Linked DNA regions of Caenorhabditis elegans. The protein of the gene in region 4 interacts with the protein of the main gene of each other region in a pairwise test. Each region holds a gene or a part of one and is shown on either strand. Other genes may lie near its edges. The genes, in order: mdf-1, hum-6, asp-6 and ubc-1.

The links.
Region 1: the proteins of ubc-1 (region 4) and mdf-1 interact in a two-hybrid assay, tested with the Caenorhabditis elegans proteins (2 studies listed by BioGRID).
Region 2: the proteins of ubc-1 (region 4) and hum-6 interact in a two-hybrid assay, tested with the Caenorhabditis elegans proteins (2 studies listed by BioGRID).
Region 3: the proteins of ubc-1 (region 4) and asp-6 interact in a two-hybrid assay, tested with the Caenorhabditis elegans proteins (2 studies listed by BioGRID).

What each region holds. Positions count from the first base shown.
Region 1 is NC_003283.11:9,539,908-9,547,694, forward strand, and holds mdf-1 (uncharacterized protein), read right to left. Parts: upstream 4,320-7,787; 5' UTR 4,318-4,319; coding exon 4,113-4,317; intron 4,063-4,112; coding exon 3,502-4,062; intron 3,447-3,501; coding exon 3,178-3,446; intron 3,129-3,177; coding exon 2,254-3,128; intron 2,168-2,253; coding exon 2,038-2,167; 3' UTR 1,875-2,037; downstream 1-1,874. Other genes in the region: C50F4.16 (Uridine diphosphate glucose pyrophosphatase NUDT14), read right to left, coding at 58-399, 449-546, 592-700, 754-891, 986-1,455, 1,504-1,699; his-35 (Histone H2A), read right to left, coding at 4,861-5,094, 5,227-5,376; his-41 (putative histone H2B 3), read left to right, coding at 5,672-5,806, 6,021-6,257; C50F4.6 (Cold-shock protein), read left to right, coding at 6,509-6,589, 6,642-6,839; his-37 (Histone H4), read left to right, coding at 7,227-7,322, 7,397-7,612.
Region 2 is NC_003284.9:2,299,766-2,307,748, forward strand, and holds the start of hum-6 (Unconventional myosin heavy chain 6), read left to right. Parts: upstream 1-3,316; 5' UTR 3,317-3,355; coding exon 3,356-3,373; intron 3,374-3,429; coding exon 3,430-3,540; intron 3,541-3,727; coding exon 3,728-3,874; intron 3,875-3,921; coding exon 3,922-4,106; intron 4,107-4,640; coding exon 4,641-4,855; intron 4,856-4,898; coding exon 4,899-5,062; intron 5,063-5,107; coding exon 5,108-5,517; intron 5,518-5,562; coding exon 5,563-5,728; intron 5,729-5,777; coding exon 5,778-6,797; intron 6,798-6,840; coding exon 6,841-6,963; intron 6,964-7,983. UniProt on the Caenorhabditis elegans protein: Myosins are actin-based motor molecules with ATPase activity. Unconventional myosins serve in intracellular movements. Their highly divergent tails are presumed to bind to membranous compartments, which would be moved relative to actin filaments.
Region 3 is NC_003283.11:8,265,058-8,271,600, reverse strand, and holds asp-6 (Aspartic protease 6), read left to right. Parts: upstream 1-2,663; 5' UTR 2,664-2,665; coding exon 2,666-2,973; intron 2,974-3,018; coding exon 3,019-3,148; intron 3,149-3,255; coding exon 3,256-3,987; 3' UTR 3,988-4,090; downstream 4,091-6,543. Other genes in the region: asp-12 (Peptidase A1 domain-containing protein), read right to left, coding at 1-328, 381-594, 643-956; F21F8.5 (uncharacterized protein), read left to right, coding at 5,902-6,057, 6,110-6,181, 6,231-6,350. UniProt on the Caenorhabditis elegans protein: Aspartic protease.
Region 4 is NC_003282.8:4,099,467-4,107,845, forward strand, and holds ubc-1 (Ubiquitin-conjugating enzyme E2 1), read left to right. Parts: upstream 1-3,553; 5' UTR 3,554-3,569; coding exon 3,570-3,620; intron 3,621-4,533; coding exon 4,534-4,923; intron 4,924-5,578; coding exon 5,579-5,716; 3' UTR 5,717-6,797; downstream 6,798-8,379. Other genes in the region: C35B1.2 (SWIM-type domain-containing protein), read left to right, coding at 1,469-1,642, 1,898-1,959, 2,394-2,541, 3,355-3,429. UniProt on the Caenorhabditis elegans protein: Catalyzes the covalent attachment of ubiquitin to other proteins.

The DNA.
Region 1 (7,787 bases), on a different chromosome or scaffold from region 4:
TATGTACAATTCGATGGGAAATGTTTTTAAATATAGAAAAGCAGGAATGTATTCGATTTACAGCGTGTCTCTCTCGAGAAGCTGATCAAGAGCAAATCCAATGGCATAGTAAGTAGTTGGTGGTCCTATATTGTGTTGTCGGTACAGAGACGGCAAATCCGCAAAAGAAACACGAAGTTCTTCAATGTCTTCATCTTCTTCCTTCTCACAAAGTCGTGCTTTACTAACATCCACGGCAAAAATAGATTGGGTGTCTCCAGATTGACCGATTCCCGGAATACACTTTGCTTGGAGTTTAAACGAATCTTCTGGAAGATCGTAGCCAAGTTGCTTCACTGAGATTCGAGCGAATTTTCGAGGATCGTCGAAATCCGGAACACGGTTAACAACGAGTTCAAGCTGGAAAATTACATATAATATTGTGGGAAATACAGCATTCTAGACTTACAGTGTATGCAATTTTAGGATCGGAATTCGAGAAATCAATCTCATCCAGAGGCTTTCCAATGTTTTCTTTCAAAAAACGATTTTTTCCAACAAACACCGCTGTAAACTTACATTTCATTAAAGTTCGATTTAAAAATTACTTACGTGCACGGAGTTTCTGCAAGAAAATCAATTCTTTCTTCACCATATCTACAAGAATACATGTAGCTGTGTTTGGACATAAGGCTAAATCCCAGTTGCGGGTTATTCCATTCTACAAGAGATTCTCATTTATACATATAATTTAAGAACTTTACTTCAACTCACAATTGTGAAAATCATTCTCTTTGGATTATAACCATACTTCTTTTTGTCAAAATCAGTGTTGAATTTTACGTTCGAAATGGTTTTTACATTGTGCGGCTGCCATTGATATCCAGTTGGTGGAGTTGCGATGAGCCCTTTCTGTAAAAATTTTAAATGATTGTCGTAAACACACGTTTTTTAAGAAGGGTTTTTCCAGTCTTCAAAAGTTAAATAAAAATATGCTTTTATTCACCTTTTTTGGATCCAAAACCAAAAACCACCATTGAAAAGCAAAAAGAACGCCTGGAGGTCCTTTCACTTCTGCATGTGTTCCAATAGCAGGGCGTGCAATTTCACGTGCAACGTTGACAGGGTAATAAACTTTAGTAATTACTTCTCCCTCATGAACATTTCCACCTCCTTCGCTGATTTTCATGGATTCGTCGATTTCCGCGTAATATAAATGTTGAGCACTTCCAGATTGATGAGCACCCACAACAAATGTTATTACATGAATTAGATCATCAGGATCCACACGATATCCACATTCTTCAGCAACTTCTTCTGATGCAATTTCTCTAGGAGATAATCCTTCCTTGTCAATTAGTCCAGCACAAAGTTCAATGGTGTAGCCAGTTTCAGAATCATAGCTGCTCCAGTCAATTTTATCAAATTCTTTACCGTGATTCTCCGGCGAATTTGAAATTGATGCGGTGAAGATTGCTAAAAAACAACTTAACGCTCACATTTCAATAGAATAAAATTGGAAACCTGGTCGAAATTGACGAACTAGAAGAAATTGCTCTAAATCTCTATGAAATAGAAGAATGGATACACTGCTCATTTTTTGATTGAATTCACTAACACGTGAATTTCCATCCAATGTGTAAGACATCTCCATTCCTTTCTGATATTTTGATACAAAATCAGTCACAAAAGAGACATCACTAATTTTTGACGCTGTCATCTGAAAATATATTTTCTTATATCATTTAATTGCGGTATCATTCAAACTCGTTTTAGAAAAATACAGGATGTTCAAAAACCAATTTTCCTATTTTCATAATGGTATTTCTCCTATATACGAGCAGATAAACTTTAGATTGTACGAAACAATATACCATAGTAAACATTGAATTGGAAAGAAAATATAACGTTCATTGTGTGATTAATTTTGATCACTACACGTTTTAGATTAAAAAATAAATAAATAAAATGGAATGAAACATCAAATATTCAGGTAACAGTGTATTTAACAGCTTCTCCTTTGAAGAAAAATAATTGAGATCTAGATAGCTCAATGATTTAGTCCTCGTGTAAGACACTGAATGTATGTGTTCTCTCATGCATCGTCTCGTCAAAATCTCGATCCTGTTCCAGCTGAAGAGTCATTGCTGCTAAGAAAGCCGGAATCGAATTTCGGTCGCCAATGTACCTGAAAAAACATATTTTAAGAAGATGCCTCACAACAACGGGGAGTATTTATACTTCTAATAGTAAGTAACCAGAAAATTAACAAACTTTTTCATAAGTGGCTCCCACTTTCGAAGCATTTCAGTAGTTGATTCACAGCTGACATCAAGCATATCGATGCGAGGAGTTCCATAGAAATACTTAAACACGAACTGCTGAGCGGAACCACCTTCATATTCGCTTTGTACAGTGCATATTCCTTCGTCTGCATCTTTCAGTTTGATTTGGAGACCGGTCAGAGCAATACAAACTTGCCGGAACTTCGACGAGAGTTCCTTATGAAGATTGTAACTACTTTCGAGTACTTTTTTCTCACTTTCGCAGTCGTAAAGACGCTTCTCCAATTCAGCAAACTCTTGCTCTCTCCATTGATCACCAGCTGGAGCATCTGTCAACTTTCTTTTCCTACTTTCAGACGCTTGGAATTCATTGTGAGCATCTTGGAGTGGATTAGAAGCCATATGGAAAATCTGTGTACTATTTCCGGCATCGGTTGGAGCAGGTAAAGATGCCGGTTCTGAAGCTGGGACAGTTAAAGTCATGCTGAGAACTTCATCGAGCTGAGATTGAGATTCTTCCAACTGTTTCTTGACCTTCTCCAATTCATTGTTGCTCAACTCTAACTGTTCAGAGAGCCGGCTTTTCTCATTTTCAAGGTCTTGGCTTCTGACTCTCTCGCTCGAAAAAGCATCCTCAAGTCGTTCGTTGCGACGAGCACAGTCTGTGCTTTCTCGCATAACTTTCGTCATTCTGGAAGTAGCTGCTTCAAAATCTTTTTCGAGCTGATTGTTCTTCGTAATGAGCTGAGTGATTCTGTCAATGAGCTGCAGTTGCTTAGCGGAATTGTCTGAACTCGAAGGAATTTTCTCGTCTATATTGAACAAGTTCCCTGCTTGGCCAATCCGAATAGCTTCAATCTCACTCTAAAATAAATTAAACGTGAAATTAGTTTAACAATAATTATTCACTCACAAATGTGCTGTCCAACTGCTTATGGAGAGCTTTCTTCTCAAACTCTAAAGTACGATTACGTTCTTCGAAAATCATCGACCTTTCAGCACGCCCACTCGAGACATTCAAACGATCTTTGAGAACACTGTTTTCCAGTAGTAATCGCTGAATTTTCTCATCTTTCTCGTAATCAATAAGTGATCGATTGGCAATGCAGCCATCAGTCATCATTGTTTGATCTTCTGGCATTATGGTGTTATTTGAATCCTCGAGAAGTGTGAAATTGGATTCTGAAAATACGAATATATTTGCCTGCAAACAAAAGTTTGAAAATTCCGGACTTACGAGGTAGAGTAAAGTTAGCAGCCGATTGATCAGCACGAGCGATTTCTCTTTCCGTTTCAGGAGATGGTGGTCTACGGGTAGCAAATGAAACACCTTCATATTCTAGCAGACTTCCTGAACCAAGTTCTTCTACTGTTTCATCATCATAATCGAATTGTTCAAGAGCCCTGTACATCTGTCTTGGAACTGCATTCAATCGTGTAACTTCTTCGTCGTTTTCAAACTTTCCGTCGTTGTCTATGTACAATTTCACAGATTCCAGCTGAGTATTCGCCATTGAGTACCAAGTGTAGTATTTTTTGCCGAATGCTGTCCAAATATCAACGTTTCGATTACACTCTGCGATGGTGTCATCTCGTTCTTGCTTCAGAAGTTCGACTTGCTCTTGCAGCTCCAACATTTTCTCACGATTCGTCTCCAGATCAATGGTTTTTTCAGCCAACTTCGCTTGATTCGTTTGCATCATTTGTTTCATACGTTCGTGATCTTCACGGAGTGTTACCAATTGACGCTGTGCCGACTCTTTTTCTTTTTTTGCACTTGCCAATTCGATTGGAGCCACTAAATAAAATATTTTAAACATTTTTAATAAATGGATTAAGTTAATTTACCAGGTGAGAGTGTCATATCGAAATTGATTTTTCTGGCCTCCACCGGCGCATGTCGACGAAATGTTGCCTGCTTCAGCTTTTTTTCTGTCTCTGCTTTCAACGGAAACTCTCTTTTGAACTGTTTTTTGATTTCTTCAGCGAACAACATTGTAGCTTCCGACTCTTCATATTCGTCTTCATCGACAATGTCTTCATCGTAATTCATGTCTGAAAAAAATCAGTTACATAATGTATTACAGTGAGCGATTCGAATTTTGAGATAGAGATTAATAATATGTTTAATGCAATCAAGGGAAGTCAAACAAATCCATTCGCACAAAAACAGTTTATCGAATGTCACCAAACAAACTGCGAAGAAATCTTAAAAATAACGTCTTCCCGCCCACTTGCAAGGGCGCGGCATTATGCAATGCTGCCGCACACTTTTCCCAGCAATTCTTCAGCCTCATTTTTTATTATTATTTGGTCATTCGGAAACATGTTCGGACACAAGAACATGCAAAAATAGGAAAATATGATCTTGCGAATAGTTTTTTTTTCAAAAATCCGAATTTTGGGAAGTTTCTTACCTGGAAAAATTGTATTTAAAACAAATTCTTATTTTCATTTTAAAAAATAATTTACTGATAACTGCAAAGTATATGAATTTATTTCATTTACAATTCAGCCGAGTAAACAATACATTCAGATGACATATAAATTAACGGGGCGGAGTATCTTTAGTTGCAATATTCATCTGTGACACTGCTTATTCTTTGTCTCCTGCAGTCTTCTTTGGGAGAAGCACGGCTTGGATGTTTGGAAGAACTCCTCCTTGGGCGATGGTGACTCCAGCCAACAGTTTGTTCAATTCCTCGTCATTACGGACAGCGAGTTGGAGATGTCTTGGTGCAATACGGGTTTTCTTGTTGTCACGGGCAGCGTTTCCAGCCAACTCGAGAACTTCGGCGGCGAGGTACTCCAGAACTGCTGCGAGGTACACCTGGAACATTATGTTTTTAAAAAGTACAAGAGCAAAAGTGATATAATTTGGAAAATGCTAGCAAGTTCAGGTTTGAACGATTTTTTAATCTAGGAAATGCACAAAACACAGCAGCTCTAAAATTCTACATACCGGTGCTCCTGCTCCAACACGTTGTGCGTAGTTTCCTTTACGGAGAATACGATGAAGACGACCAACTGGGAATTGAAGTCCAGCTCTCGACGAACGGGACTTGGCCTTTCCACCGGTCTTAGCTTTTCCTCCCTTTCCACGTCCGGACATCTTTGCTGAAATTAGGTTGAATAACAATGAACTAGAAGTCTAGATGAGCAAATTGGAGGTGAAAGAGAAACAGAAAAGTGGTCTAAGCCGACGAAAATCGATGCAAAATACGCATGCGCACACGCGCCCGCCTCTCTATTTAACTATTTCTCTCGGTGTGGGCGGAGTCTAGTTCCGCGGCAGCGAGAGGTGGGGCCACCGCTGGCGAGTATAAAAGCGCTTCGCAGCGCTCATAGACAACACTCGCCAAACACATCGATTCGTTTCGCATTTTCGTTTCGTGTCTCATTCGATCATGGCCCCACCAAAACCATCAGCTAAAGGAGCCAAAAAGGCTGCTAAGACCGTCAGCAAGCCAAAAGACGGAAAGAAAAGAAAGCATGCTCGTAAGGAATCCTACTCGGTCTACATCTACCGTGTTTTAAAGCAGGTGAGAATATATTCAAATCGAATAAGTTATGATAAAAAAATGTTTTAGCCATTAGCATGTTGTATGTTAAAACTACGTACCACTTAGTACGAACTGCAACGATATAATACCGGTATTTAAAAATCATTTAAATTAGTCTTGGGGGATCATAGAAATCAAAATAATATTAAGTAGTTATTCTGTCAAATCAAAAATATTATTAAATAATTTGCAGGTTCACCCAGACACCGGTGTGTCATCCAAGGCTATGTCGATCATGAATTCGTTTGTCAACGATGTCTTCGAGAGAATTGCTTCGGAAGCATCTCGTCTGGCCCACTACAACAAGAGATCCACCATCTCTTCTCGCGAAATCCAAACCGCTGTCCGTCTCATTCTTCCTGGAGAACTTGCAAAGCATGCTGTTTCAGAAGGAACCAAGGCTGTCACCAAGTACACTTCCAGTAAATAATTTATTAATGATTACGATCTCCCATTAACACTCCTATTCCCCAATGTATTTATTCATATGTTCCTGTTTTATACTAAAAACCTAATAAATTGGTATTGGTAAAGTAAACTCGATTTTGGGAAACATGTGCGAGCGTTAGTGACCTCAGACATCTGTCGCTCCGCCCCTCCACCGCATATGGGTATATAATATACACTACGTTGGCATTCATTAGTCAACCAGTCTGCACAACACCAAATCGACGCGCAAAAATGCCAAAGAACACCAAGAAGAGCCAAGGAAACAAGAAATTGGAGATGACCAATAAGCAATTCGATGATTTGCTGAAGGAGGTAAGACCTATTTTATTTTACTTAGAATAGCCTAAACAAAATATCTTTTCAGATGGGAGGTCTCCCAGAGGGAATGAATCTCGATCCAGAGCTTCTCGCAGTTCTTCGTCAAGCAACAAATGCCGAGTTCAACAAGGTGGCCAAGGAGAAGTATGGAGATGTTCCAGAAGGTTCAGATGATGACGAAGAGCAGCAAACTTCGGAGCAGAATAAGGAGCAGCAGCAGTCATCCAGTTCGAAGAGTACTTAGTTGTGTTCTTCGTTTTCGAAAATTTCTAAATTCTCAAACCGATTCTTATTTTCAAGATCTCTTATTTTTACATCAATAAAACCATTTTGCTCAAAAATATGATATTTATTCTTCACCGTCTTTCCGAACACTACGAATTTCAAGGAAAACCCTTGGAGGACTGTTATTTCTGCTGCACAACCTTTCCCGCGTCATCGAATCCGCAAACACGCCACCAAGTTTTTGACGTATTTTTCGTTTCTGTGACGCTTTTCTGACATGTGTCCCCGCAGGGTGGTTCAATCTGACTCCACCCATTTCTGCTGGCGTATAAAAGAACGACGACGAGTGACGTTCAATTCTGTTTTTATCAACTCATTCGCTTTCGTTTTCTAACAACTTTTAATCATGTCTGGACGTGGAAAGGGAGGAAAAGGACTTGGAAAGGGAGGTGCTAAACGGCATCGTAAAGTTCTTCGTGACAACATCCAGGGAATCACAAAGGTTAGTTTTTTGAAAATAAATATATATTTTTAACTTAAAAATATTTTATCTAATTTTCAATATTTACTTTCCAGCCAGCAATTCGCCGTCTCGCTCGTCGTGGTGGAGTCAAACGTATCTCTGGACTTATCTACGAGGAAACTCGTGGAGTTCTGAAGGTCTTCCTTGAAAATGTCATTCGTGATGCTGTCACTTACTGTGAGCACGCCAAAAGAAAGACTGTAACCGCGATGGACGTTGTCTATGCCTTGAAACGTCAAGGAAGAACTCTCTACGGATTCGGTGGATAATTCACTCGGCTGAGCCGAGGTTACTGTAAATATATATCATGAAAACCAGATCACTCGCTTTGAAATTCAATAAAATATTATCCGACTTAATTTTGATGTTCTTCAGAAACAATTTATAAATCGATCTATACATTATAAGCAGTGGCTACCAACCATATCACACGAAAGAAAACAA
Region 2 (7,983 bases), on a different chromosome or scaffold from region 4:
ACCCCCACCACAATTCCACTTCATGATCGATCATCTTGTTGCTTTTTGTCAAAATCCAGCGCCAGGGCCAAGTGCACAAAGCCGCGCACCGGTGGCGAAACAATGGATCGGCTAGGCTCTTCCACAGTCGTTGTGTCTTTTGGCCTCCGTAGTGTCCACTTATGGCGTTAAACAACTGTTTCGCTTATTCTGCATCTCCTCTTTTTTGCTGAACAATATTTGCTTCCTCCCACCTTCTCCGCTTCATCAATGTTTTTCTTATTTTCACTCCTAAAAACTCAAGTGGAGATAACACGTTTTTTGGAGTATCGTTATGTCATACCCCCTAGCCGTCTCGACATGGAATGCGGAAAAACGTTTTTTGAATTAATTTTTTTTCAAAACCATAATTTAGTCAAAAAGTTTTTGCTGAAATGTTGCATGCTGTATTCAATGATATTGCACGCAAAGTTTTTGATATACCGTATTTCTTCTATCAGTATGGTCTCCCTATTAGATTTGCACTTCCTATTAGTATTGCACTCCCTAACAGTCCTGCGTCTATTTTTTTGGTGCAAACCAGCCTCACTAATTTTAAGATTTTGACAACATTTTTTTGCCAGTTTTGCAACAATTTTTCACAAAATTTCTATGAAACTGAAGTTATTCATGAACATTTTTGTTGCAGCTATAAGTAAATTTTCTAAATTTCCAAATAAAACTGGAAATCTTTCAAGTACAAACTAGTAAGCCCCAGCTCAAAAAAATGATCTGAAAATTAGTATTGCAGCTATATTTCCAACAGAAAAAACGGTATTTATAGGTGTAGTAGCGGTGCCAAAATGGCCAAAGTCATAGTAAAACTTTTCAAAAAAAACGTTTGAAAAACTTTTATTGACAGTGGCAATTACAGAGTTTTTGTCAATTTTTGGGAAAAAAACTACAGCACTGTAACATGTTTCAATGCCTACAATATTTAAAATTAAAGTTTTGTATATTAATATTCGAAACGTATGTAGACCCCAAAACTCAACGGAATACTTTTCTATGATCGACGACTTCCAAAAAAGTGGCAAAAACTAACCTCACCTTGTGGCATAGCTTTTAGCAAAAACATTCTTGAAGTCTAATTAAAGCTTCTTTGCGAATCAAATGATCTCAGAACAAATTTTTGAACAAAAACCATAACGAACTCCTAAAGGGAAAAAATAGGATCTTTAAAAAATTTTGGATTAAAATTTTTACAAACTCAACACCGCAGCTATTTTTCATTTCATATCAATAAAACATTAATTTATATTATCCCCATAAGTTGTACTTGTCTAAAAAAAATCACGTTCTAATTTCCAATTTGGAGCATCTACTGTGACATTTCATATGAGTACGTTTGCCAAAAAATGTGTCTTAATTATATGTTGCTAATAATAAAGATGAATATTCTATAGTTGGGCAAATGATGCTTCAAGCTGATTTATGAAGTGCCGTGAGAGTATCTTCCCTATTCAATTGCATTCATCCAGTGATTTTCCCTCATTCACTCTTTTCTAACTATCACTTTCATTCGATCACATCTCCCCCCATCAAAAACTAATTCCATTATCATCCTCATTCCTTTCCTGATATCTGCTAAGAATGAGAAACATTACAAGAAGAATGCAATTTGCATCGAAACAAGTAGTTGGTGTAGTCATACATTTCCCGGTCTCATATAGGGATACTAGTTGTTAGGCCGCTGTTGCCCAAGCTTATCTCATTTCTTTGAGTGACCTCAATTTTGACTGTCCATCTATACATAAGAAATGCAAATATTTGTTGTTTATTTCAAAAAGCTCTCTCTCTGTGCTTTTGTTCCCCGTTCCAGCTGGGCTTGCTGTCGTGTATTTTTTTTTGTCAATTCATCGGGTTTTTTTAGTACAATTAACTGAAGCAATGGGGCTGATAAAATTTCAGCACTTCAGTTTTTTTTTTAATTTGACATATTGCAATGTGAATGTGATATCCCTTATTGTAATGAACTTTTGAAAATCTTAAAAATCTGAGTAATTAGAATTTTATGTAATCCTCTCTAAAGATGACCTCATTTATTTGGAAGGCGATAAAGAGAGAAAGAAAATGAGAAAATAGTATTGGCTAGCTAATTTGACCGAAGACAATTGCGGCCGGAGGAGCGGCTGTTAGAAACAGTGCGGAAGATGACGGAGAGATAGTCCGCGCATTTCGGATTAACCGTGGTCAAATATCACAGTGTTTCTCTCTCAAACCCCCCCCCCCCCCCCCCCCCCCCAAAAGTCGCTCGGACTCATCACTTGCAGACCCCGGGCCCCCTCTCTCTCCCCAGCCAATACATTTGTCAACAAATAAGAATGTGTAAAAGAGAAAGAAAATCCGAACACAGACGGCGAACGTCTTTATTCGGAAAACCTGCGGGTTTCTGTGTACTTTCGGCTTATTGAACCTATGCATATTTTGTGTATAAACTCGTGTTCATGACTGTTTTGAGTACATTTGCTCAGCTATGTAGCTCCCAACTTTTACTGAATACCATATGTTCTTTTTGTAGCGCTGTACTCATTTGAAGCGTTTCTTATCTTTCTTTCTATCTTGTTCAAGGTTTTGATTTAAATTTCAAATTTCATTTGCCTGCCGTTTTTATTACTTCTATATACATAGGTAATTCTTGACTTTTTTTGTGAATTTAATATCATACTAGTATAAGTAGAAGAAAACTTTTAGAGCATGATTATAATTTGTCTGAATTTTTTAGTTTTTTTTGCTTTGTTAGATTCAAAATGGCTCAAAAACAGACTTTCATAACAAAACTTTCCAATAAATGTTTTTAATAATTTTATGGCGGTTCAATACTTCAAAAATATTCACTTAAATGCATCTAAAATCTCCAGTTTCCCCAGCATTTTTGCTTCTCAGCAGCCGGAAATTGACACGGTAAATTTGCACAATTTTGAGATTTTAGCTAAAATTATGATGTTTTCTTGACTTCGAACCATTTTAAAAGTGGAGTGCCGAAATCTGAGACTTTGTTTTTTTAAACCTAAAACGACCCAAAACAACCGAGTTTCGTAATGAGACGTTTTGAAAATTTCTCAAAAAAAAATTACGGCTGTTCAAAGTTCTGCAAAAAAAGCTCATTTTCAGATAAAATCAAAAAAAAATTGTTGGGTCATTTTGGGTCTAAAAAGGCAAAGTCTCAGATTTCGGTACTCCGCCTTCAAGTATTTGAAAGCACACGTTTTTATTGGTTAATTTTTCTTTGAATCTTTGAAACTTGAATCGTTTTGAATTTTATAAAAGATATTCCTTAACGAAAATCAGTTTTTTCAGATAATCTGTGCTCCAATGACTTTGTAAATCAACAACAATGGTATTAGTAAGCAAGGTAACCATCCAATATTATTTGCTCAGCCGCTTGTATTACGTAGTATATTTTCTCAGGGTGACTTCATCTGGATTGAGCCCGGAAAAACAGAGGGATCGATTCCAATTGGAGCACGCGTCATCGACCAAGACCATGGACGTTTGAAAGTGATTGACGATCTTGGAAATGTACGTTTTGACACCACTGTTTTGAACATTTTTCACTGATACCGCAACATTGACCTCAATCCGTTTCCTACTTTCGCATCACTGCGGGCATCTCTTTAACATTAACATTTTATCACGCATTTGATAAGTTGCGCGGTGGTCGTGTTGCAATTTTTGTTGAGGGAGAGAATGTAAAAGTACAATTCAGGAACAATGGCTATCGGCGGATCGACGGGTCAGGCTGATGCATCCGACATCAGTTCAGGGTGTGGAAGACATGTGTCAGCTGGGCGATTTTCATGAGAGTGCGATTTTGAGAAATTTATTTATCAGATACAGAGAAAAACTTATTTATGTAAGCAATTAAAGAAATATCGCAAAAAGTTAGTTAGACAATTTTAGGCCTATACTGGTTCAATTTTGATAGCAGTAAATCCATATATGGACATTGCTATCTATACAGCTGATGAGATTCGGATGTACAAAAGGAAACGAATCGGAGAGCTTCCACCCCACATTTTTGCAATTGCTGATAATGCGTATACAAATATGAGGAGGGAAAAGAAAAATCAATCTGTCATTATCAGGTTCGTTTTTTAGACAAGGAGCATTTTTTCACAAAAATTATTTAAAAAAAAAACAGAAAAAGCCTCTCCAGTAGCATAACAATTAGAATTTTTACTTCGTAACTAAAATCTAAATTTTCTGAAAAATTGTCAAGTTTTCTTATTAAAAGTCCCAAGTTTTACTTTAAAATTTTCAAGTTTAACCAATAAAATTCTAATTTTTTCAGCCATTTTCCAACAATTTCCACCCAAAAAATATTTTCCATAAACTTTAGAACTTAAAACCTGAAGTATTTCCACTTGAAAACTCCGAAAACTCTCAGCCAATTTTTATCTTGAAAATTCTGAATTTTCTGCAATTTTCAGTTACTTTTCACGCCAAAATCACACTTTTACCATCTAAAAGCGCTCAAAATTTGAAAACATTGTTTTTTTTTACTTTTTAAAGCAAACACTCTCATCTTTAAACTAAACTACAACAACAAATTTTTTTTTGGAGTTCCAGACTACATAGTAAATAAAAAAACGAAAATTTTGAGCAATTTTCTTTTTCAGTGGCGAATCTGGTGCAGGAAAAACTGAATCCACAAAACTGGTCCTCCAGTTTTTGGCAACAATCAGTGGACAACACAGCTGGATCGAACAGCAAGTCCTAGAAGCAAATCCGGTTCTCGAAGCATTTGGTAATGCGAAGACCATCCGCAATGATAACTCGTCTCGATTTGGAAAATACATTGATGTACATTTTAACGAGAGTGGATCTATTGAAGGTTTGATTGACAAGTGGGAACATATTGAGATGTATTGTTTTAGGAGCGAAAATTGAACAATATTTGTTGGAGAAATCGAGAATTGTTACTCAATCAGAGAATGAGAGAAATTACCATATATTTTATTGTTTGTTGGCAGGACTGTCCAGAGAAGAAAAGTCGGAGCTAGAATTAGGAACAGCTGCTGATTATTATTATTTGATTCAAGTAAGCTTTATAAAGGTTGACTCGTCGACATCAATTGAACTTTAGGGAAAAACACTGACAGCAGAAGGCCGTGATGATGCTGCCGATTTGGCTGAAATCCGATCCGCAATGCGAGTTCTCATGATCAACGAGCAAGAAATTGGAAGTATCTTCAAACTTTTGGCATCTCTTCTTCATATTGGAAACATCAGATTCCGACAGAATACGAATGACAACATGGAATCAGTTGATGTAGCCGATCCATCAACTCTTGTCAGAATTGCAAAACTTTTGCAACTCCACGAGCAAAATCTTCTTGACGCAATTACTACTAAAAGCTTAGTAACGCGCGAAGAACGAGTGATCTCTAGATTGAATGGTCAACAAGCCGTCGATGCAAGAGATGCCCTTGCGAAGGCAATTTATGGAAAATTATTCATTCATATCGTTAGAAGAGTGAACGATGCAATTTACAAGTGAGTTAGGTTAGTTTAAAAAATATTTTGAAATTTATTTTTAAGACCGTCGCAGTCAAGAAGAACATCTATCGGAATTCTTGATATCTTTGGGTTTGAAAATTTTGAAAGTAATAGTTTTGAGCAACTTTGCATTAACTTTGCAAATGAGACATTACAACAATTCTTTGTTCACCATGTGTTTAAGATGGAGCAGAAGGAGTATGATGAGGTAGTTTTCATATTTCAATCTGAAAAATAAAATTTATTCAACATTGCAGGAGCACATTAACTGGCGTCACATAAAATTTGTCGATAATCAGGCTACAGTCGATTTGATTGCTCAGAGACCGTTGAATATTTTGTCTCTTATTGATGAGGAAAGTATTTTCCCAAAAGGAACTGATAAGACAATGCTGCTCAAACTTCATTCAACACATGGCAGAAACGAGCTCTATTTGCAGCCAAAATCTGAGCTTCAGAGAGCATTTGGAGTCACTCATTTTGCTGGAAATGTGTTTTACAACACACGAGGTTTCCTCGAAAAGAATCGAGATTCCTTTTCAGCCGACTTGTCCGTGCTCATTTCCTCATCAAAAATGCCATTCCTTGCTCGATTATTCGACGACATAGAATACGACACAAGCTCCAGAAAGAAGGTGACCGTCGGAAATCAATTCCGAAGATCGTTGGAGCAACTTATGTCCCAGTTGACTCAAACACATCCATTTTTCATCAGATGCATCAAGCCGAATGAGATGAAGAGAGCACTTGTGATGGATAGAGATCTTGTATTAAGACAGCTTCGCTATTCCGGAATGATGGAGACTATCAAAATCAGAAGGAGTGGTTATCCGATTCGTCATGACTACTATCCATTTGTCTTCCGTTATCGTGTCTTAGTTTCTTCCATCCAGGGACCAGTGAACAGGATCGATTTGCACGATGCAGCCAAAAAAATTTGCCACATGATTCTTGGAACAAATGCTGACTATCAACTTGGAAAAACTAAAGTCTTTCTGAAAGATAAACACGACTTGGTTCTGGAGCAAGAGTACTACCGCATATTGAAGGATAAGGCAATTGTTATTCAGAAAAATGTCAGGAGATGGTTAGTGAGAAAAGACTTTGAGAAGCAAAGACAAGCTGCTGTCACCATTCAAACTGCATGGAGAGGTTTTGACCAAAGGAAAAGATATCGTCAGATTATTTCCGGTTTCTCACGCCTTCAGGCTGTTTTGCGTTCGAGACAATTGGTGTCACATTATCAAACTCTACGAAAGACAATCATCCAATTTCAAGTTAGATAATAATCATAGGAACTTACACTATTGTCAATTTTAGGCTGTATGCCGCGGGTCTCTAGTACGTCGTCAGGTTGGAGAAAAGCGAAAACGAGGCGAGAAAGCACCACTCACAGAAGTTTCATCCACTGCTTCAGTTATTTCGGATTCACATGAGGAATTAGTGAGTTTAGGCAATTTATGTGAGGAGTATAGATTGTGGGTACATTGTATGAATTTTATGGAACCACGATATCATGAGAATGTCTACTTTTCTGGCGGCAAATATCACGTAGCGAAGGGACCTGCGTCTCTCTTCGCCACATGTTATCTTGCTGCCGCGGCCTGCAAATATTTTCGCGCCAGTAAAGAGGCATTCTCATGACCTCATGGTCCCGTAATATACTAAAACTAGTTCAAAATCCCAGTTTCATTAGGAAAATTCAGCTCTTTTTTTTTTGGAAATTTTGACCCACCATAAAACATTTTTCGAAATGTTTTGAGAAGTCCCATCACGAAGTTTGGTCGCTTTAAGAAAGTTTCAGTATAATTAAGCAAAATACCCACAATACCTACTCTAAGCCTTCCACGAGGGCGCTACTCTCGTACGCCTGTACCTAGGGGTGGCTATAGGTCGACCTATGTCGACCTGCGACCTAGAGGGTTAGGTCGCATCGCGACCTGCGACCTAGCGACCTAGGTCGCTTTGCGACCTGCGACCTTGCGACCTGCGACCTAGCGACCTGGGTCGCTTTGCGACCTGCGACCGAATTAAAAACGTAGAAAAAAAGCACAAAACAAAGCATTGATTTCTACAAATTCTACAATTCTACAAAAAAAATTGAAATTTAGAAAGTTAAAACATTTCGGGGGGAACGAAACCCATTAGTACCATAGTTTTCAAGTTGAAACAATTTTAGTCAGCAGCAAATCCGGCGGATGTCGGCTGTTCTAACTTTTTCGACAAGGTGTCTTATGGATAAGACATCGAAAACAATGTAAAATAAATGATTTGTAGCAATTTGTTAGTATACATATTCTGCAATCTTATGTAGTTTTCGAGTTATACAGATTTTGACAACTCAAGTGAATCAAAACCGAAAGAGCACAAAATGTCAGTACTTCAGGTCGCAAAGCGACCTAGGTCGCTAGGTCGCAGGTCGCAATGCGACCCAGGTCGCTAGGTTGCAGGTCGCAATGCGAC
Region 3 (6,543 bases), on a different chromosome or scaffold from region 4:
CGATGAGCGAACTTCCAGTGTCGGAAATCACTTGAGATTTCTTATTGTTTGAGTATGATCCGAGCTTAAATCCATCAGCAACAAACTGATAATACGTGGCAGATGAAAGTGGTTGATAGGCAATCACTGGTCCGCAGTTGGTAGTGTCAACGGCTCCGTAGGTGAAGACACCTCCTCCAACATTCTTTGCCGTTCCCTTATGTTCTAAAAAGACTGTGAACAGAGGTTGATCGAGAATTTTCTTGTTGATGGCGTTGATCAGTGGTGGGGTAACTCCGTCGACTGCAAGAGATGTGAAGGCAAGCCCGAGAATTCCTTCAGCAGCGTCCTGAAAGTTTCGTTCCGATGAAGAATCAAATAATCTGGGAAATAGATCTTACATTCTTAAAGTTAGACGAAATGTGAGAGGCAATACCGAAAGTGGTAGATGGGACAAGAAGTTGTTGTTCTGAAGCACCACCAAAAGCAACAGTATCTACTCCCATGATTCCCTTAGCGCTTCCAGATTCGTATTGAATTTGCCATGATTGTCCGTTTTTCTTGAATGTTGTAGATTTAGATGAGTCAAACTCGCTCTTTCCTTTGCATGTTCCACTGAAAATGATAAAAATTTAAAAACCATTGTGTAAGGTGGCTACTGACTCGCAGTTACTTCCTGGAACCCAGAGATTCGCAGAACCAGTATCCAAGACGACAATAAACTGTTGTGGAGGAGTTCCAATCGTGATATTTCCTAGGTATTCAACATCTCCAAAATCATTGACATTTTGTGGAGCACTGGCGAACACAGCTGGATTGGCGTCACGTAGGGCAGCCTTGTGTTGAACGTATGCTCCCCATTCTCCTCGCCTCATCATTTGCATCTTTGGCGATTCCCGATAGATCAATTTATGCTGAACCACAGTTGCCGAGCACATGCCAAGAATGGCTACAAAAGCGAGAAGAGTTGTCTTCATTTCTGAAAAGATTTATTGAATATTTCGATGTTTTCAGTGCGTGTTGTGTTTTGAAATAAAAGAGGTTTCATTAATTTTGGTTGAAATCATGTTTGTTTCTTGATTCTACTAGTTTTTCAACGAACAACTGTTTGAAATACAATATCATTTAGGTTGACTTTTGTGCGAGACTGTGTGAATGCCCGGTACGATAAAAAGTTCAGTAGTCCTATTATGCTTGAAATATGGGTATTTGAAAGTGTAATACAAGTATTCAAGAACTAAAATGGTTCTTTCTTCCTAAAATTTATGCGTTTAAGATTAAATACCATAGAAACCTAATATTTTTCGTTCTTCAGCTCATAACTTTGCAAACTAGAATGTCCGTGCAAAGTTTGGAAACTTTGGCCATTATTCTTTCAATCTGACGCAAGAACTCTCACTTTCTTGATCTGATGCGATAAATTATTGATAATAAATCAGAATACGTATCTAGATTCGTAAGAAGCTTATCTAGAAAAGTTCCGGCTCATAGTCAACATGCCTGGCTATTGGGCACGTGATGATCAAGATGTTTGTACTGTCACAGGTTGAGAAGTAAAACAGCGGAAATGATTGAGGAAAACGTTTGATTTAAAGAAATGTCAATAAAGCTATCATGTTGACTGCCAAAATAATACAGAGCCGGAAAAAAAACTGCAGAAAATAGTGATGTCATTTGGGTACACTTGCAAAACAAGCGTACAGTATTAATTGGATTTCCAATTCAAAAGGGTGAACTGTAAAACTTGAAACCATGCCTAGCTTTCTCTGCAATCCACCAAAAATTTTATATTTGGGGTCTTTAGGAAGATAGGCTGAAAATTCATCCTTAACTATTCCCTGGCAAGTTTTCTGGCAAAAAGTTTATCTACATATAAATATGGAGTTTTGCAAAAAAAAATGCTGTGGAACAATTGGAAATGGACATAATTTTCAAATAAAATTCAAATAATGGGCACTATTGTAACTATTTTACTAACTGTGAAGTAAGATGAGATAGAAAGTGCCGTTAAGAACCTTCCAACTCAAAAAGTTTATTCAATTCAAAAACTGTATAATGTTGAAAACTATAATACAGAGCAAATTGAATTGTTGGAAAATCTTACAGTGATGCCTTAAATAAGGCTCTCGTCATTCATTATATCATCCTTTGGACTCTGTCTGTTCAAGTTTTAGCCATGCTCAAACTGTATACTTTCCTATCGCTTACGTAATTCATCACGTATTACTCCGGATTTAGCCAGTAAACCTACGTGTGTACCTGGTATTGACCTATCAGCACTTGACTCAAATGTCATCCATCTCCGGGTACCGTTCACGGAACTTTACGCACTTTTGATTCAGTTAATACTCGAGTTTTATTAGCTCATAAAAGCTGTTTCGTCAGTTTTCAGTCGTTACTTCCAGAAGCCGGAATCATCGGCACTACTCTCTTCACTAAACTTCATTTTTTAGTGATAAGAATCGCACCGATCGGGTACAAACCAAATAAGAAGGCGGTTCTTATCAACCAATTAAACTTACGTCAGTGCGCCCATGAGTTTTCTCAACAAGTATAAAACATAGCACTATCTGACATTTTCTACTTCAATTTTTGCTCTTGAAATTGAAAATTATTTCACTCGTTTATCTACACTTTCAATTTCATTTCCATTTAGAATATTTTTCTGAAATATTTATTTTCAGGTATGAAGACCTTCATCCTTCTGGCCGTTCTTGGCCTTGCATCGGCTTCAGTCCATCAACACAAGATCGTATGGAGGGAATCCAAGAAGATGGGAATGATCCGTACTGGACAATATCCAGCTTACCTTGAATACCAGAGAAATCTCAGAGCTGTGTCCCCAAATGTTCTTGCTAATCTCCCACAAAATGTCAATGACTTTGGAGATTTCGAGTACCTCGGAAACATCACCATCGGAACCCCAGATCAAGGATTCATCGTTGTTTTGGATACCGGATCCTCTAACCTCTGGATTCCAGGACCAACCTGCAAGTGAGTAGATTTCAGTTCTGAAATATTTAAAAAGATTATTTGAAGGACCAACTGCAAGACCAAGAGCAAGTTCGATTCCACTGCCTCCAGCACCTTCGTTAAGAACGGAAAGTCCTGGACCATCCAATACGGATCAGGAGATGCCGCCGGAATCCTCGGACAAGATACCGTTAGAGTAAGTTTATCTTCAATGCATTAATGTGTGCGTTGTGTAATCTTGATATAAATTAGCTGGCAAAGTGAATTTTACAAAAAATCAGTCCTTATCAAATTGATTTTCAGTTCGGAGCTAAGGGAGACTCCCAATTGTCTGTTCCAACCACCACCTTCGGAATTGCCAGCAAGATTTCCGCTGACTTCAAGAATGACGCCACCGACGGAATTCTCGGACTTGCTTTCACCTCCCTTGCCGTCGACGGAGTTGTCCCACCACTCATCAACGCCATCAACCAAGGAATCCTTGACCAGCCACTCTTCTCAGTCTGGCTTGAGCACAGAGGAGCCGCCAACAATGTTGGAGGAGGAGTCTTCACCTACGGAGCCATTGACACCACCAACTGCGGAGCCCTTGTTGCCTACCAACCACTTTCCTCTGCCACCTACTATCAATTCAAGGCTGCCGGATTCAAACTCGGATCATACTCAAACACCAAGACCGTTGATGTTATCTCTGACACCGGAACTTCCTTCCTCGGAGGACCACAATCTGTTGTTGACGGACTCGCCAAGGCCGCTGGAGCCACTTATGATGACTTTAACGAGGTCTACTTCATCGACTGCGCTGCCCAGCCAGGAACTCTTGATATTACCATTGGAACCAACACTTATTCCATCCAGCCAGTCAACTACATCGTTGATGCCGGAAACGGTCAATGCCTTTTCGCTGCCTTCCCATTCGATTTCGGAGGATTCGGACCATCATGGATTCTTGGAGATCCATTCATTCGTCAATACTGCAACATTTACGATATTGGAAACAAGAGAATGGGATTCGCTCCATCTCTCCAAAAGTAAATATATATTACTATTTATGTACTTATACTTTTTCAATAATAAAACAATTGAAACAACTAATATTTAAACAATTTTTCTGCAGAAATGAATTGCATTGAATTTTAATCACGATGTTTCATTCCTCTTATCAGTTTACTTGTGTTATCAGCGAAATTAACGAGTCCGCCGTTTGATGATGCAAGAAAATGAAAAAAAGCTTAAAACCAGAATTGAAAAGGGGGAAATTGATCACTTTTTGAAAAATGCGATCAATAATTTTAATTATAAGTTTATTTGTTTTTGTTTCTGGATTAGTACATCAAAGTAAAATATTATGGAAACCATCAAAAAGGATCGAGATGCTGAGAAGTGGAGAATGGGCAACATATAAGAAACATCTCGAGAGACAAAGAAACCGTAATCCTTGGCAGCTACAGAGTTTGCCACAGAATGTAAGTTTTTTTTAACGTATCCAAATTTTAAAATAATCTAAAACTTGTACTGATAACCTGTTCTATGCAAGTTTCACAATTTTTAAATAGAAACTAGCCAACTTTCAAAAATAACTTTTATTTGATATTTTTCTCATAAACACATACACTAATTTAGGTCAATGACTTTGCCGATTTTGAATATCTTGGAAACATCACTATTGGAACTCCTGATCAGAGCTTTATTGTTGTCCTTGACACAGGTTCCGCGAATCTTTGGATTCCAGGGACATCATGCAAGTAAGAATGAAATTTAAAAGTGAACTTTTACACTTAACTTTTAGAGCAAATTGTGAGTCGAAACACAAATTTGACAAGATATTGTGAAGGTATAATTTTTAAACAATTATTCTTACTTTCAATTAAAATTTTGTAGATTGGAGCGACCGGAGAAAATCAGTTAGCAATCCCAAAAACGACATTCGGAATTGCAAACCAAGTTTCAGCAGATTTAAAAAACGACGCCACCGATGGAATATTCGGTCTTGCATTCACTACATTGGCTGTTGATGGCGTAGTTCCACCACTTATCAATGCTATTAAACAAGGAATTCTTGATCAACCATTGTTCAGTGTATTCTTGGAACATAGAGGAACATTGACAAATGTTGGAGGAGGAGTGTTCACATATGGAGCAGTAGACACTACTAATTGTGAACCAGTGATTGGATATCAGCCATTGTCATCTGCCACTTATTTTCAGTTCAAGGCAAATCGATTCCGACTGGGAAAATATTTGAATGCAAAAGTTGTTGACGTGATTTCGGATACTGGAACTTCTTTCTTGGGTGGTCCCAGTGTAGTTATTAATGAAATTGCAAAGCAGGCTGGCGCTACCGTAAGTTTTTATCAGATAAAAACCTGATAAGATCTCATCTTATCTTCACCTTAATTTATAACTATGAATATTTTTTGTTTCGACTGAAATTTTATTTCATATTAACAGTAATGGAGTCGCTCGTTATAACTTCAACTTTTTTGAAGCCGGTTGTAAAACTAACTCTTCCCATTCAAAAACCAAATAAACATGTAAAATTAATTTCCACTCTAAAATGTTACAGTACTATATCCTTGGAGAAGCGTACGTAATCGATTGTGATGCTACTCCTGGACCACTTGAAGTTACAATTGGTGGCCATGATTATCAAATCGAACACTACAATTATATTGCGGATGTTGGCGATGGAACGTGTGTGATGGCTCTCTTCCCAATGGATTTTGGAGGTTTTGGACCTTCCTGGATTCTTGGAGACCCGTTTATCAGGCAATATTGTAACATTTATGATATTGGAAACTTCCGAATGGGATTTGCTCCATCTTTGCAACCTGCTCCAAAATGATTGTGATTTTTTTTAAATAAAAATACGTGTGTTGAAGAGTTTTAAAGTTTAAAAAAAATGTAAAAAATTTTTTTAAGTTGAAAAAATTCATTTCAATTTCTAAAATGAATACATTTGTATTTTTGCCACTTGCATTTTTCGTTCTACTTGAATCATTCGAAGCACAAGAGCCGCCAGGACCGACGGCTAGATTAAATATGTTGGATAATTATATGAAACGCCTCAATCTTACTGATATTCACTTTTCTGATCCCGGTGGTGTAAGTTTTGGGCCATGAAGTTGTTATTTCAGAAAACATAATTGTCTTGCAGATAGTGAAAGTGGACACTGTCGTGAATAAATACCAACCTCTGACCGAAGAGGAAATTATTCGTAAGATGAAGGTATGACGTGGTTAATATATTTAACCGACTCAAATATGTTTTTTTTTAGAAAACGGTAAATGACACTGCATACGATATTGCAAACGGAAAAGATCCTGATCTTATTGAAAAATTGGATAAAAAGACTGTTCAACTTCCAAAACCAATTCGTTCAAGACCACAATTCTAAAAGTTGAACCCAGATACTTCTGATTCTCTGATAAACATTTTTTATCTTCGCCCACTCGTCATTTCAGAATATTTATTAAAAGCTGTATAAGGTAACCGTAAGAAACGTGCCATGTTTCATATCTCCCATTTCTTTGATCACAAGTTTATAAAAAGTCGAGAGAAGAATTTTTGGCGCGTATCTAAAGTTGAGT
Region 4 (8,379 bases):
ATCAGTAGAGCGCATTTGCATGGATGTACCACTTGCCGGGCCGTGTTCCAAATTGGTATATCGCTCAGTGTTTGCGTACTCCTGGAGCTACAGTAACCAGGAAAATTTTGAAAATCGAGCTGTGAACTTCTTTTCTTTTCTTCGGCTAAAGAATCGAGTATATCCACACAATTTTTCATTAAAAATCTGGAAATTTCGTAAAATTTGGTGTTTGGTCCGCAATCACTGTTTGCGTACTCTTGGAGCTACAGTAACCCGAGAAATTGAACGGAGATTCCCAATGTGAAGAAAAACTCGAGAATTTCGATTTTTAGGTCGAAAATTTGAAATTTTCAACTTAAAATCTATTTTAATATAGTTTTTGACGTGTTCCGCATTCCTCACCTTATTTTTTTTCCAATTTTTCTTTTAATATTTACCGATTTTTCAATAAAAACAATAACATCTGCTGCTGCTTCATCTTCAGAACTTTACACTTTTTTCTTCCTTCCGAATCATCTCTCACCGCTGCCAGTTGCTGTTTTGTGTATCACGTGAACAAGTCATGGTGTTTTTTGTTTTTGACCTGAAAAATATTTTGGGAAAAAAATGGAAGAAAATAACGAGTTTTCTCTCTCTTTAAAATCTATTTTTCTGCCTTTTTTCCCAACTTTTTTCCTAGAAAATCGAATTTTCAACTCAAAATTGGAATCTCTGTTCGATTTTGGCAATTTAACGGAAACTAGAAGTTGCTAGCTTCATTTTCGAAAAATTTCCGGTTACTGTAGCTCCAAGAGTACGCAAACATCGAGTGGTTGTGGGAAAAACACCAAATTCACGAAAATTCGAGATTTTGAGCTGAAAATTAGCCCTATGTCTAATCAAACAGTGCTGAACCCGAATTCCGTGACAAAAATTATCGGAAAATTGTATTGGGAGCATTTTCCTTAATTTTTAGCCATAGTATTGCTAAAAATTGGATTTTAAAAACTAGAGGCTCCTAGCTCAATTTTGAGATTATTCAGGTTACTGTAGCTCCAAGAGTACGCAAACACCGTGTAGTTGCAGACCACACACCAAATTTCACGAATATTCGAGATTTTGAGCTGAAAATTAACTCGTAAACTATTTAAACTATACTGAATCTGAATTTTCAACTGAAAATTTGGAAAAATGTGATTTCACAGCTTTTCCGCCGAAAAATCTCTGACAAGTTAACTTCAAATCAGCATTTTCGAATTTTCGACTGCAAATTCAGATTTTCCCTTCAATTTCGAAGTTTTTGACGGAAACTAGAAGTCGCTAGCTTGATTTTCAAATTTCTCGGGTTACTGTAGCTCCAAGAGTACGCAAACACCGAGTGATTGCAGACCACACACCAAATTTCACGAATATTCGAGATTTTGAGCTGAAAATTAACTCGTAAACTATTTAAACTATACTGAATCCGAATTTTCAACTGAAAATTCCAAAAATCAATATTTTCCAGATAATCTGCCGCCGTTACAATGGCCAAAAGTACAGCCAGTCGTTTGGATTTGTGCGGAAAATTTATTTGCTCAAAATTTTGCCACTATGCCCGCCAGAAGTCGCTGAGCAACTTCATAATCGAGATTTGGCAGTAATATCGTATTCCTACAGAAATGCTCCGCATCCGACGTTTGTGAGTGGAGGAAATCTGGAAAATTTGCGAAATTTCGAAGGATAAGTAGAAAAAACACTGAAAAATTGACCCAAATTCTGCAATTTTCAAGATTTTCCATGAAAAAATGTCTTCAAATTGAGAAAATTTGTGTTTTTCCATAAAAAAAACCGCGAAATTTCAATTTTACATCAAAAATCGAAAAAATTATCCAAATTCTGCTCAGAAAAGCCAATTTTCGAAGCTTTTCCATCAAAAAACTGTAAAAATTTGCAGATTGAGCAACCGGATAGGCAGAAGCTTCCAGATGGTCAACGTGTTGGTGAAGAAGTTGAATTGTTAGTTTTTTTTTTTTTTTGAAAATTTGAATTTTCAGGAAAAATGTGGATTTTTTGAGGTTAAAATTCTGAAAATTAAAATTCCGAAAAAAAAACTTCGGAAAAGTTCAGAAAAATTAATTAAAAAGAAAAAAATCCGGAAAAAATGTCTAAAATTTTTGAAAAATGAATTTACACAAAAATCTGAAAAAAAAATCACTTTAAAGAAATTTTTAATGCCAAAAAGTTTCAGAAAAATATCAAAAATTAAAACAAAATCTGTAAATTATTTAAGAAGTAATGAGTTTTCCAAAAAATTAAGAAAATAGTTTTTTTTTCTGAAATATTTAAATTAATTTTTAGGGATTTTTCAAAAATCTCAAATTTTCTATAAAATCCATAAAAATTCCCAAAAACTTCTCTCTAAGAAATCTATCAATTTCAAAATTTTTCAGAGTTTCCGGAGATGTGATGTTCGACGATGATATTAGTCCAGAAATGCGAGAAATGGTTGAAAATATGGAAAGAAAAAAGAAAATTAATTCGGAAAGATTAATGGAATTACTACAAAGAATACATCGAATTGATCAAATTTGTAAAAAAGTACGGATTTTTTTAGTCGAAATTGATTTTTTTATAGCTGATAATTAAGTAAATCAGAATTTTTACCTTAAAATCGTGAAAAAAATTGAGCCTAAGTTGAATATTTTGTACTGAAAAATTGGAAAATTTCGGCTTTAAATTTGAATTTTTCTGAAAAATATTATAAAATTTGCATTTTTCCAGAAAAATTGGACTTTTTTACTCAAAATTTTGATTTTTTGAAAGTTTTCAGTTAATCATTTCGAATTTTCCGGAAAACCTAAAATTCCAGTTTAAACTCAAAATTTTCACCGAAAACTTCAAATTTTTCAAATTTACCAAAAAATTGACATTTTCAGTGAGAAAATTGAAATTCCAAAAAAAAAAAAAAGATAAAAATCAAAAATTCACCGAAAATTTGAATTTTACTGAGAATTTCACGTTTTTTTGTAAAATTTTAAATTTTTGGAAAATTGATTTTTTTTTAGAAATTTTTAAATTAAAATTTAGAAATTTCCACTAAAAAAATCAAATTTCATTAAAAATTCATTAAAATTTTTTTTTTCACTAAAAAAGTTCGATTTGAACCAAAATTTTCTAATTTTCAGTTAGAAAATCGAATTTCAATGAAAAATTCCAAAAAATTCAAATTTTCAAAGAAAAATTTGACATTTTTGGCAATTTTCCAGCATTTTCATTTAACATAAACTGAATTTTTTACGAAACATTTTCGAAAGTTTCCAATTTTTACGGAAATTATATTCCAAATTTGCACTAAAATACGAATTTTTTTGGGAAATTCCAATTTTCTACCTAATTTTTCGATTTTTGCAGGAAGCTTGGCTGGAATCGTCGGCAGAAGTTCAACAACTCACACAAATTGCTCAACTTTTGCATTATTGTCAATAAATGTTAAAAAATATTTTCTTTAATTTTTTGATTTTTTAAAGGTTGCCGTACCTTTTTTCATACTTGTTCTAGCATTTTTCTGCATTTTTTCGAATTTTTAACCTAATTTTCACATTTTTTGCAGGAGTTAGGTTATCAATATGACGACGCCCAGCCGTAGACGTTTGATGAGAGATTTTAAGAAACTTCAGGTGAGTTTTGAAATTTTTGGCCCGAAAATTTGGCTTTCTTTGAACATTAGAGAACATTTGCAACAAAAATTGGTTTTTTCCAGAAAAAATTAGATATTTTTGGGATTTTTGATAAATTTCTCGTGAAATTTTTAAAATTAAAATTGCCAAAAAATCGCCGAAAATATCCATAAAAACGGCCGAAAATGTCCAAAAAATCGCCGAAAATTTCCAAAAAAAAATCGCCGAGAATTTTCCAAAAAAATTGCCGAATTTTCCAAAAATTCGTCGAAATTCTCCGAAAAATCGCCTAAAATTTCAAAAATATCGCTTAAAATTACCAAAAAATCATCGAAAGTTTCCAAAAAACGGTCGAAAAGCACAAAAAAAATGCCCAAAATTTCCGAAAAATCGTCGAAAATATCCAAAAGATTGCTCAAAATTACCAAAAAAAAAAAAAAAATTACCAAAAAAAATCGTCGAAATTACTGAAAAATCGCTCAAAATTTCCAAAAAATCATCGAAAGTTCCCAAAAAATCGCCAAAATTATCAAAAAATCGCCTCCAAAAAAATTGCCGAATTTTCCAAAAATTCGTCGAAATTCTCCGAAAAATCGCCTAAAATTTCAAAAATATCGCTCAAAATTACCAAAAAATCATCGAAAGTTTCCAAAAAACGGCCGAAAAACACAAAAAAATTGCCCAAAATTTCCGAAAAATCGTCGAAAATTACCAAAAAATCGTCGAAATTACCAAAAAAAAAATCACTTAAAATTACCAAAAAACGGCTCAAAATCATTAAAAGATTGCTCAAAATTTCCAAAAAAAATCGCTCAAAATTCCTAAAAAACTGAAAATTTTCCAAAAGAAAGGTTTCTTTTAATTTCCAAAAAAAATCGCTCTAAATCCCCAAAAAAACGACCAAATCTTTCAGGAAGATCCACCAGCAGGAGTATCAGGTGCACCAACAGAAGATAATATTCTCACATGGGAAGCAATAATTTTTGGACCACAAGAAACCCCGTTTGAAGATGGAACATTCAAATTATCACTGGAATTTACTGAAGAATATCCAAATAAACCGCCAACCGTCAAATTTATTTCCAAAATGTTCCATCCAAATGTGTATGCGGACGGATCAATTTGTCTGGATATTCTACAGAATCGATGGTCTCCGACGTATGATGTTGCCGCAATTCTGACATCGATTCAGTCGTTGCTCGACGAGCCCAATCCAAATTCACCGGCCAACTCACTTGCCGCACAGCTTTATCAAGAAAATCGACGGGAATATGAGAAACGTGTTCAGCAGATTGTTGAGCAGGTACACAACCCTGAATTTTGGATGAAAATCGGCGAAATTAGAGCTCAAATATTGAAAATTTGGCAGTTTTTGACCCGAAATCGAGAAATTTCACCCCAAAAATTGAAATTTGGCTGAAAATCGATAACATTTAAGTTGAAATACGAAAATTCTTAAATTTTCATCTAATGTATGCAAAATTTGGCTTTTTGTGGTTCAAAATCGTAAAATTTTACCCTAAATGTGGAAATTTAGCTGAAAATCGATGAAAATTGAGTTAAAATTAAAAAATTTTGGAATTTTTATGCCAAAACTGAAATTTTGAGAAAAATTAAACGTTTGGCTGAAATTCGGCTGAAAATAGGCGAAATTTTTTGCGAAATATGAAAAATCTGAATTTTTATGCCAAAATTGAGATTTTTTTTGCGAAAAATTGCTGAATTTTGGCTGAAAATGGCTGACATTTCAAGCAAAAATAATTTTTTTTTTTTTGAATTTTGCAAAAAAGAACCGAAATTTGAGGCTAAAAATTAAAAATTAGAAATTTTTGGCTTAGGTTCAGGCTTAGGCTTGGGCTTAGTCATTGGCCTGGACTTAAGCTAGGCCTAGAAGCCTAGGCTTCGACGAAGCTGAAAAAACACAAAAAAAGTTCCAAAAATTCTATAATTTTTTCCAGTCCTGGCTCAATTTCGGCGAAAACGAGGGCGACGCAGTGCTCAAGGATGACGTGGAAATTGAAGAAATTGCTGCTCCAGGAGCAAATGATGCAGACGATGACCGTATGGATGAAGGAGCCAGTGGATCGAATGCTTAAATTTTCAGGAATTTTTCTGAAATTTTTCTACCCCCAAAAATCATCTGAAATCAAAAGCTTTTCCCATCATCCCCGTAAAAGAAATTTCGAAAAAAAATCAATTTTTTTTTTTTGAAATTTTTGAATTTCCCCCCACATTTTTCTCTCAACACAATCGATCCCTTTGAAAATTTTTTCTTCTCGTTTATTCATTTTTTTTGTATTTTTTCCGGAACACTTTAAGATACGGTAGTTTTTTTTTGTATATATTTATACACCCCAGTCATCTCTCTCTCTCTCTCTCTCTCTCTCTCTCTGTCTTTTGTTGTTTACATAGATGAGGATTTTTTCCCGGTGAAAATTGGCTGAAAATCGGAAATTTTTGACCTTAAAAACTGAAAAAATTGTGAAATTTCAAGAAAAAATCACGATTTTTGACTGAAAAACAGCTAAATTTTGCGGATTTTCGGCCTTTTTTAGTGAAAAATGGCTAAAAATTGATATTTTTAGACCCAAAATTTGTGAAAATCTGAAAATTTCGACCAAATAGCTGAAAAATTTGTGAATTTTCGAAAAAATCATTTGGCATTTTTTAAGTCAAATTTTCACTATGTTTTTGTATGAAAATTCTGAAATTTTGAATTTCGATATTCCAACAAAATTTTCAGAGTTTTTAAGTTTTTTTTTGCTGAAAATCGCCATTTTTATACTCGAAATTTAATTGTGAAAATCGGAAAATTTTAGCCAAAAAATTATAAAAGTTGGAATTCTAACTCAGCTAACTTTCAAATTTTTGTCTGAAAATTCAATGTTTTTTTTTCGTCAAAAATCACCAAAATATTGCTCCTTTTTTGGCTGGAAATTCGAATTTTTCACTTTTTCCCCCAATTTTCATCATTTGCAAAAAATCCTCTTTTTTTTTCGTTTTCCCACGTTTATTAATTGATTTTTTTCGGATTTTATTGATTGATTTCCAACCATAATTGTCTTTTTTTTCTTCAAATGGCACCTTTTTTCTCTCTGTCTCTATGTCTCTGTGTCTGTCCCATCCCAATTCGTCAATTTTTCGACGTAAAAATGAATAAAAAATTTTGATGGCAAACTTTTTTTTGGAAAAGTTGCATTTTTTCCAAAAAAATTTGAATTCTCACAAAATTTTGTGCTCCAAAATCCGAAATTTGGAGCTTACAAGCCTACACAGGGGTCCAGAGCTTTAAAAATTCAAAAATTCAAAGGTTTTTGATTTTGGATTACGGAAATAAGACGTAAATTTCTGTTTTCACCAACATAATGGGACAGTAGTCCCCATAATCTAGTGGGTACTTCAAAAAAAGGTCCAAAAACTCGAAAATTGTAAGTTTTTAACATTTCCAACAAGTTTTTCTTACCAAAAACTTAAAATAAAAATAGTCTGCAGCTAGCGGGAATCGAACCCGCGGCCTTCTGCACCCCAACCAACTCTCTTACCGACTGAGCCACCGCGACACTCATTTTTCGAAAGTTTCTCAAATTTTCCACAAAATAGTTCAATCGACGCAGAATTTCACGCTGATCATTTTTGTAGTTGACAACTTTTTCCAAGCTTTCACCGTTCAATAGTTATGAGGGTTTAAAGTTTAGTGTGAGAAAGGGGGAGACGCAGACAACGAGACAGTCTGGGTCTCTCTCTCTCTCGTAGGTTCAAACTTTGAAGGCGCTTAACTCTGAAACTAGATTAGCTATCAAAAAACTCCCAACTATAAAAGTATCTAATATTTTAAGCTGAACAGCTTTGCAGTTAGCAAGTTTTTGATAGCTCTAACGAATTTCGAGTTTTCCACCAAAACCCATGTTTTCCCCCGACTGCAAAAACGCGCGCGAGTACGAATTCATTACTCCGATATATTCTCATAGTCCAAGAAAAATATTTGCTCATTTGTTTTCCGACGTGTTCCATCTTAAGAAAATCACATTGTTCTCGTATACGAGAGCAGGAGGTCGAATACAAAAAATAAAACGAGCGGCCAGGGGGAGAGTGACAACAACACAACCGTCGTGTATTTAAGAGGTAATCTGAAATTTTTTCAGATGCTGGAAATTTAATTATGTGAAGTTTTTAGTTTTAGTTCTAGTGTTTTGTAAAATTTTTCCGCTTATAACTTCAAAACCAGCGGAGCTATCAAAAAGTTTCTCATTACAAAATTATTCAGCTAAACGTTCTACACATTTCTATAGTTAAAAATTTTCTGATAGCAAGCCTAGTTGCAGAGTTACACGCTTTCAAAGCTTGGGCTTACGAGAGAGATAGAGGCTGAGAGAGACGCAGACTGTCTCGTTGTCTGCGTCTCTCCCTTCTCTCAAGCCAAACTTTAAACCCTTATAACTATTTAACGGTGAAAGCTAGAAAAAAGTTGTCAATTGCAAAAATTTTCACCGTAAAATTCTGCGTCGATTGAAGCATTTTTTGAAAAATTTGAGACACGGTGGCGCAATCGGTAACAGGGTTATCTATGGCGCAAAAGGTCGCGGGTTCAACTCCCGGTAGGTGCAGAGATTTTTCATGTTCAGTTTCTGGTAAGAAAAACTCAATTTTTGAATTTTTACAACATTTTTGAAGTACCCACTAGATTATGGGGGCTACTGGACGATTGAGTGGCGGAAAAAAAGAAGTTTCAAGACTTATTTCCGTAATCCAGAATCAAAAA